Caenorhabditis elegans: one gene and its partner. The protein of the gene in region 1 purifies or fractionates together with the protein of each later gene. This does not show direct contact. Each region holds a gene or a part of one and is shown in the gene's direction. Other genes may lie near its edges.

Region 1 (4,509 bases):
AAACTCAAAAAAATGCCACGTGTCACGCAATGGTTAAGAATGAATTAATTCTTGGAACATGTTTTTTTGATTTTTTGTTGAAAAATCCACACCGTGACTATTAGGCTGAGAAATAGTTGCGAAAGTTGCTTACTTTATTCAATTTCATTCGACAGACTCGCTGGCGCTGGTCATTTAATGTGATAGTGGAGTTAGACATCAGGAAATATATATTGAGTTCTAGTTCAAAAATGCTGATAATGTTTCAAAAAGTAACAGCCTAGGAATTCAAGTAGAAGTATTCAGTCTCCAACTGTTTGAGATTAACATTTAAAACATTTCAGAAGCCACTACCTACGACAACAAAGACACTTCGTCAACCCGGCCGCTAATCTCCGACCACGTCGCTCCAGCCCCCGATAGCGCTTCAGGAGACGTCACGTCAAGAGATACGGAGCATCCTCCTCGCCAGAAGAAATATCTTTCCAGCACCTCAGATCTTGTGAAGCTGCCTCCAAGCAAGGCACAAATTCTTGAAGCTTGGGAAAATGGAGCCGAACCTTGGCAATCTACCTACTCGGAACGATTAGAGGACGAGAAGGACTTCTATTCTGTTTGCGTGTACGATACAAACCCACCCGACGATGAATGGCGCTGGAATGGAAGACTGGACTTCTCGCTTCACGCGGATCCCGATTTCATTCCACCATGGTGCACCGTGTGGACAAAGGAGCAGGAGGACGATCTTTTGAAGAAAGAGGTAAGAGTTATTTATTCTCCCGTAGATTCTTTGCAATTTTTTTTTTTGAAAAAAATATCATCTGAAAATCTAGAAAAACCAAATTACTTTTGGCAAGACTAATGGAGCTTTCTTTTTTAAAAAATATTTTTTTATAATCTGACGTTTTTCAGAGCGATGCCGAATGGGAAGTCCGCGAGCAGAAACGACTGCGCCAAGAGAGACGTGACAGGCTTCTATAAAGCATTAAACATATTATATTCCAGAGATTTTATTCACGTTTTGAATCAATCAACGTTATTCATTTTTCTACACTTGTTCTCGTCATTTTCCGGTTTCCATGTGGTCCCCCGTCTCTCCCATCCAGCTTTATTTATTTCGGTTTTAATTTAAAATTTCATAATTTCAACATAATTTCAAAATTCGATATCACATTTTCTTGTTGATCTAATTTGAACTGTTCACTAATACATTTTGTTTTAAATATAATACCGTGCGTGCGGAATAAATAATAGAAAACTTATTTGATTTTTTTAAAACTTGAGTTGTTAATGTGACTTTTGTTCATCGTAATTCGTTCCAAATTGCAAAGTGAAAAAAAATAAATGTATTGATATATCTTAAATAAACCAAGATATATGGCTCAGGGTAAATAGACATGGTGCATCGAATTAGTCTAATTTTATCTGAATTTTGTATAGTGTTGTTTTTTTTGAAAATTAAAACATTTATTCATTTGTTTTGTTGTTGATAAGTCCCTGAAATTAATTTTTTCTGTGTCTTAAACCGTCTTTTTTCTTCTTCAACAAAACTTATTAAAAATAAACGCTAAACCACTGTCTCCCGTGCGGAGGTATTGCGAAACCGCGCGCCGCACATTGCAAAAGTGGGCGGGGCGTCGTTTCGTCAGTTATTTCTTGCGTTTTCGCTCGGATATTTGTATTTTTCATCGATTTTTCTTGGAATTTTGGAGCACAAATCGCCATGGGAGCCGATGGAGGAACTATTCCAAAGCGGTAAGTGTCTGTTGTCAGGAAAAATGGGCAAAAACCCGAAAAATAAGGTTTTCAATAAAAATATGTGAATTTGTTTAAAAATATGCCTGAAAATGAGTAAAACCGTCTGAGCAAACTCATGCAATGGAGAAATAATTATGTATAATTTAGTTCAAAATATTTACACGTTTGAGTGGGAAAAAATCGGCTAGTTATCAGATTTTTTCCAACAAAAAAGTATATCTTTAAAAAAAATCGATAATTTCAGTTGCGAACTGGTCAAGGAGAGAAAGAAGAAGGAAAAGCTCGACAAACACGTGAAAAACGCCACAAAATGGAGAAACTGTCAACTAACACAGCTTCCACTGAAAAGACCAGTGATTGCTTGTCGATTTGGAAAGCTTTACAACAAGGAAGATGTGATCAACTCGATTTTGAGCAAAACTATCTCGAAATCAGCTTCAGCTTCTCATATCAAAGGCCCAAAGGATTTTGTAGAGCTTAAGCTCACTTTGAATAAAGATTTCAAGCGTGGAGATGTGAAAGGAGACGATTATAATGATGTGAATCAAACTGAATTCATTTGCCCAATCACAAATGTTCCAATGAACGGAATTCAAAGTTTCTTAGTTAATTGGCAGTGTGGATGTGTGTATTCAGAGAAAGCTCAACAAGAAGTTAAATCCTCAAATTGTCATGTTTGTGGAGGACCTTATGATGCCACAAAAATGGTGATTTTGAATCCGGAGCCGGAGCAATTAGAGCTCTACAAGCTGAAATGGGAGGCTGAGAAAGCTGAAAAAGCGGCGGCGAAGAAGGATAAAGCAAAGAAAACAGCTGAGAAGATGGAGGCTGCCGCTAGTTTGGCTGCTGGATCAGGAGGAGAAGCTTCAAGTGTTGCTCCAGGGCCAAGTGGCTCCGGAGTTGGAAAGCATGGTAAGTTTTGGAGAATATATCGAATTTCATGTAAAAAAAATCGTAAAAATGTCGGAGAAAAGCGAAAATCTGCAATTTTGCCGGTCGTAAATCTATTTTTGCAAATTTCGGTAGTTTATTCTCAGTCAAAACCGTTCATAATATACCCAGATTCAAACCCATTTAAAAAACCGTACAAGTCTATATTATGAAAAGTTCTAATTTTGGGCAGATGTAAACCAAGATTGTCTAGATCCAAACTTAATTTGCATAGATTGCAAGTTTGAGTAGATGTAAACCAAATTTGTGCAGATAAATTCACAATATAGGCTTGTACGGTTTCAATTTGGTTTAAATCTGAGTATATTCTGAACGGGTTTACTGAGTTACGTGATTTTTGTTGATCTATGATTGTTTTTAGGTGCAAAACTCCTAAAAATATACATAACTCAGTAAAACCACGGAATAAACGGAAGCTGAAATAGAATTCAAATGAATTTTCGACTGCTTCGATACGGAAACATGACTTTGAGATTTTATCCGAATTGAGTACGTATTCCAAATATTTTACAGGATTTTATCACTAAAAGACTCAAAAAATGGTCCCAAAAGGCTAAAATTCGAAAAAAAAACTTAAATTTCGCTAAATCCCCCTAATTTTGACACTTTTTCCATTACATCTGTCGGAAATTGATTTTTAGTTCATTTTTCACATTCTGGTCGTTTAATACGTGTTTTTGGTGGAAAATGTCTAAGTTTTTGGTGGAAAATGACACAAAAATTAAACATAAGCGTGAAGAAAAACTACTAAAATGCCTAAAATAGTGAAAAAAAAAACCATGTAAAAATGAGTTTCGAGCTTCTGAAAATTGGCGAAATTGGAGATTTTTCGCAATTTTCCGAGATGTAGATACGAAAACCGCCATAAAATTGTTAGAGAAATTCCGAAAAAAGTACCAAATTATACATTTAAACCCCTATTTTTTCAGTGGATCTCAAGAAAAAGCTGGAAATCGCAAAGCTCACCGGTGGCTCGACATCAGAAAAGAAAGCTGAAAAACGAAAAGCAAATACGGATATTCAATCGGATCCTACCACTTCAGACACTTATAAGAAGCTGTTTACAACATGTGAAGCTGCAAAAAATAAGACTGAAGGACATTGGGTCACTTATAATCCACTTTATTATTGATTTTTCTCACATTTTTTTTGCTCGAAATTTTAAATTTTCCGTTTTTCTTTTACCTTTTCTGTACATTTTGTACATTTACTCCATGATTTTTGTTCAATTTCTCGCTAATAATAATCATTCCAAGAATTTTTGATTTTTTTTTGTGTTCAGTTTCAAAGCATTTACTTGGTTTTAACCGCAATTGTCTTTATTTCTGCTTAAATTTCCATTTTTTAGATCGAAAATTAAATTAAAAACTGGAAATTTCTGAAAACTCTAGTTATTTGAAAGATTTTTCGCAAAATTTTCAGATTTTCAGCAATTTTTTCTACCCATGTGTGGATATACGCAGTTCGTGTACTCCCCGTGGAGAACTTTTCCGAGTTTTCAGTTAAAATGCTTGATGTTTGACCATTTATTTTCGCCTATTTTTTTCAGGTTTTGCATTAAAATCGGTATTTTATCCCTATTTTTTTTAATCTTTTATGTGGAAAATCGATTGTTCTTCTGCTGGAAAACTATAGAAATTAAGAATTCCTTGTTTTCAAGAGTTAATAAATTAATTTACATTTAAAATACTATGAATTAACGATTTTAACCTTAATCTCAAAAAAAATCAGCGGGAATTGTTCAAAAATTGAGGAATTTCAGTCAGAAGTTGTGAAATCTTCTCCTCGTGGAGTACACAAGCATAGTAAATCGACACGTGG
Region 2 (3,242 bases), on another chromosome or scaffold:
ATGTTTCGTGTTTTATGTTCAATTAATTGTTTTGTAGGAAAATAAGTCATCAAATCTCATCCGAAAAAGTGGCGATCGGTTGATCCAGTTGGTACCAAATCAGAACCATAACGTTAACACTCTGGGAAACATTACAATGACGAAAAATTATGAAAGTGAATATCAAGTTAGACTACAGCTGATACGAGAGGCAAATAATGTGGAAGTGAAGCATCAGAAAATTAATAACTATAATAATAATAATAAAAAAGATCCCGAGTAATAATCGTTAACTGTATTGAAAAAAAGCAGGAAGACATGAACGGGCTTACACTCACTGGTATAAAAACTGAATAAATTGTTGACGCTTTTTGTATGAACCTTGTTTATGTGATGATGCAAAAAATCTGATACGATAACAATTTTATATTAACAAATTAATAGAAACATGCTAATCGTGTTTTTTTCAACCGCTCTTGAAAAATTGAATAGAAAATTTGAACTGAATGCTTGGATTTTTTAATTCACAAAATGTTTAGAGCTTATATACTATTGGAATACTGTAGACTAAGCCTAAAAAACTAGTCTCATATCTTCTATTAGAGTATTACGTACTTAATGACGAGCAGTACTGCAGAAATTTTAATGAATTCATGATATATTTTTGGGTAAAAGTGGATTGAAAAGTTGACCAATTACCGAGTACTATATATTTTCTTTTATGTTACCCAAACTGATCCCCCAAACTTCTCCAACAACTTATCAGGTCGAGAAAGCTATTGCATATTCTGATTTCACGTCAGCTCCTAAAAAACCTAACGCACATTTTATATAGGGAATTACAAGTTTCTAGTTCAAATAATCATGTTGTGAAGTTACGAAATTTGAAATAGTCTCAAATTAACATGAAATAGTCTCAAATTAACATGAACCTGCATGAAAATACTCCATGCATCACCGTGAGAAAACACAACCAATTTGGACTCATTGTTGATAGAGTTACGTGTCGATTTAGAATAGTCCGTGCACCCGTGAAATTATTGTGCACTCAAACTTTACTTTACTCATTTTTCGTTTTTCATTTTTCAAATATCGAATTCATGTGTGAGCTAGAATCAAAATATGCCTTGAAGATTCCCAATCTTATACAATTGAAGTGACAACGCGCATTCAAGCAGATCTCAGACTTTTGTTTTCCAAATCCCTTAACACAATACTAAAAGGAAGGTTTTAAATGAAGATTATTATATTTGTCTGGCGATTTTTTTTTATCAGACAATACAAAAGAGAATAGTTCCTATATAAAGTAGCAGAAATTTTTTTTTATTCGAACTCATCTCTAAGATTTTTGACTGCAAGACTCGTTATCGCGTAATTCAAGTAAGTTTTGAAAAATGCTCGTACGCAATTTTTCAATTGAAAGCGACATCATTCAATGAATACGTTAACAAATTTGATAATCGCGAGTTGTGTAGTCTATTCTTGACATTTCGTCACAACTTTTTACAAATATTACCATTTCAAATTGTCTAACAGAACAAATTTCGAATCGTTTTTAAACAAACGGTAAGACAAATTTCCGGGTATACGTGCTAAAAACTTGTTCTAAGACCATAAGAATACATATTTTTCGGAATGAGCTCGACTGTGGCAATGATTAACCAGATTTGTATCTCAACGGAAATCGTCGTTTTCAATGTTCTTGGACTGTTTGGAAATATCAATTTTCTATGTCTGACATACATCAAACCTGCATTACGATCTAAATCTTGTAAGTAATAAATATTTAAATAACAATAAAACGCCATTTTTACTTTCTTATTTTAAAGAGATTCTCATCTCGTGAAGTTCATAATTTTTAGATTATATCCAGTGTGCTCTAAGCGTATCCCACATATTTTGTCTGCTCTTCGAACTACCAAATGCCGTTCTTCTGTTCACTGGAATCCAGCTCAGACGCAACATTTGCTTTCCGGCAATATCGCTTTACATATTCTTTATCTGTGCTCAAGCTGTAATAATGCTCATGCTGGTCGTCGATCTTTTCATTATTGTCTTCTTCACCACTTTGTTTGTTTTTATGAACATGCTTCCTAAAACCGTTTTCTTTTCAGCTACCGTCGGATTGAAAACACAACTTACACGGCTATGATGTTATTCATACCTTTTGTCTATTCAGCATTCACAGTTGCGTGGGGTTTTGTGAAAATGGATGATGAATTGGTGATCTTCTGTAATCCACCGATCAGTCTTCATCCAGTTGTCAGTAGATGGTGGTCAATGTCTAATGTTGCTCTCAATTCAATCACTCTCTGCCTGTTTCTGTTCTTAATAATTACTTTTCATTTTAGAGGTATGTGAATTACCAGATCATGAGAAAAATCAATATTTCAGGAAAGAAACAAAAAAGCGACACAAGAAAACTGATGAAACGTTTGAAAGTTTCCGTGGTTGTATTCGTTTTCTCTTGGTACATGTGTACTCTCGGTGTCGATTTGTTTGTTGCAATCGGAATGACCGGATCTGTTCTTGTGTTTTTCCAAAGCAATATGGTTTTCTTCGCACTTCTCTGCTATACTCAACCATTTTATGTAATGCTCTGGAGATCATCCGAATATCGAATTGCGTTTGTAGAGATGTGGAGTTTCCTGGGATGTGTGAAAAGCATGAAATCAAAAGGATGGTTGGAAAAAACTTCAAAAGTTACAACTGCGGTCTCTGTGATGGATTCAAGCAAACAATAAAAACTTTACAATTTATTTACTTATTTACATAATTTCTAAAATCTGAATAAACCGGGCTCGATTTAATATTTTAAAAGCATTTTTTGAAAATTTCATCGATGGATGATTGAGCCAAACTGCAAAAGTTTTATCTATCTCTATAATGCACACAAATAAAAAATTGTAGTTTTTCAATTTATTAATATTTAAGTGTATATTACGTCCCATAATTTAAAAAAATAGTTCTCTTGCAAATATTTTTTGAGGGACATTCCTTGATCTTTTGTCTCTAAAAAATCTAATAATTCAGAACAAATAAAACATATTAATATTCGAAAATATACTCATTCTGTTATTATAAATTGAAGGACAACTCATTTCCATTGCTACAATTTTTGCTGTACAACTTTTCAGCCAATTTGTAGTTTATTGTGAAAAATTTAGTAATTCTAAATAATGCTGTATCGGCTGTAATGGAAAAATAACAAGAACAACAAAGCAGAAAGTGTGCTTTCATGCAGGTGTCTTTGTAATTTTTGT

What was found.
Region 2: the proteins of tads-1 (region 1) and srsx-3 fractionate together in Caenorhabditis elegans (co-fractionation; one large-scale study listed by BioGRID). This does not show direct contact.

Annotation. Positions count from the first base shown.
Region 1 is NC_003279.8:13,383,132-13,387,640, forward strand, and holds tads-1 (Replication termination factor 2), read left to right. Parts: upstream 1-1,620; 5' UTR 1,621-1,702; coding exon 1,703-1,734; intron 1,735-1,981; coding exon 1,982-2,649; intron 2,650-3,617; coding exon 3,618-3,820; 3' UTR 3,821-3,953; downstream 3,954-4,509. Other genes in the region: C01A2.6 (WWE domain-containing protein), read left to right, coding at 324-739, 892-960.
Region 2 is NC_003283.11:7,935,625-7,938,866, reverse strand, and holds srsx-3 (G-protein coupled receptors family 1 profile domain-containing protein), read left to right. Parts: upstream 1-1,614; coding exon 1,615-1,750; intron 1,751-1,841; coding exon 1,842-2,049; intron 2,050-2,093; coding exon 2,094-2,332; intron 2,333-2,373; coding exon 2,374-2,723; downstream 2,724-3,242. Other genes in the region: srt-53 (Serpentine Receptor, class T), read left to right, coding at 38-262.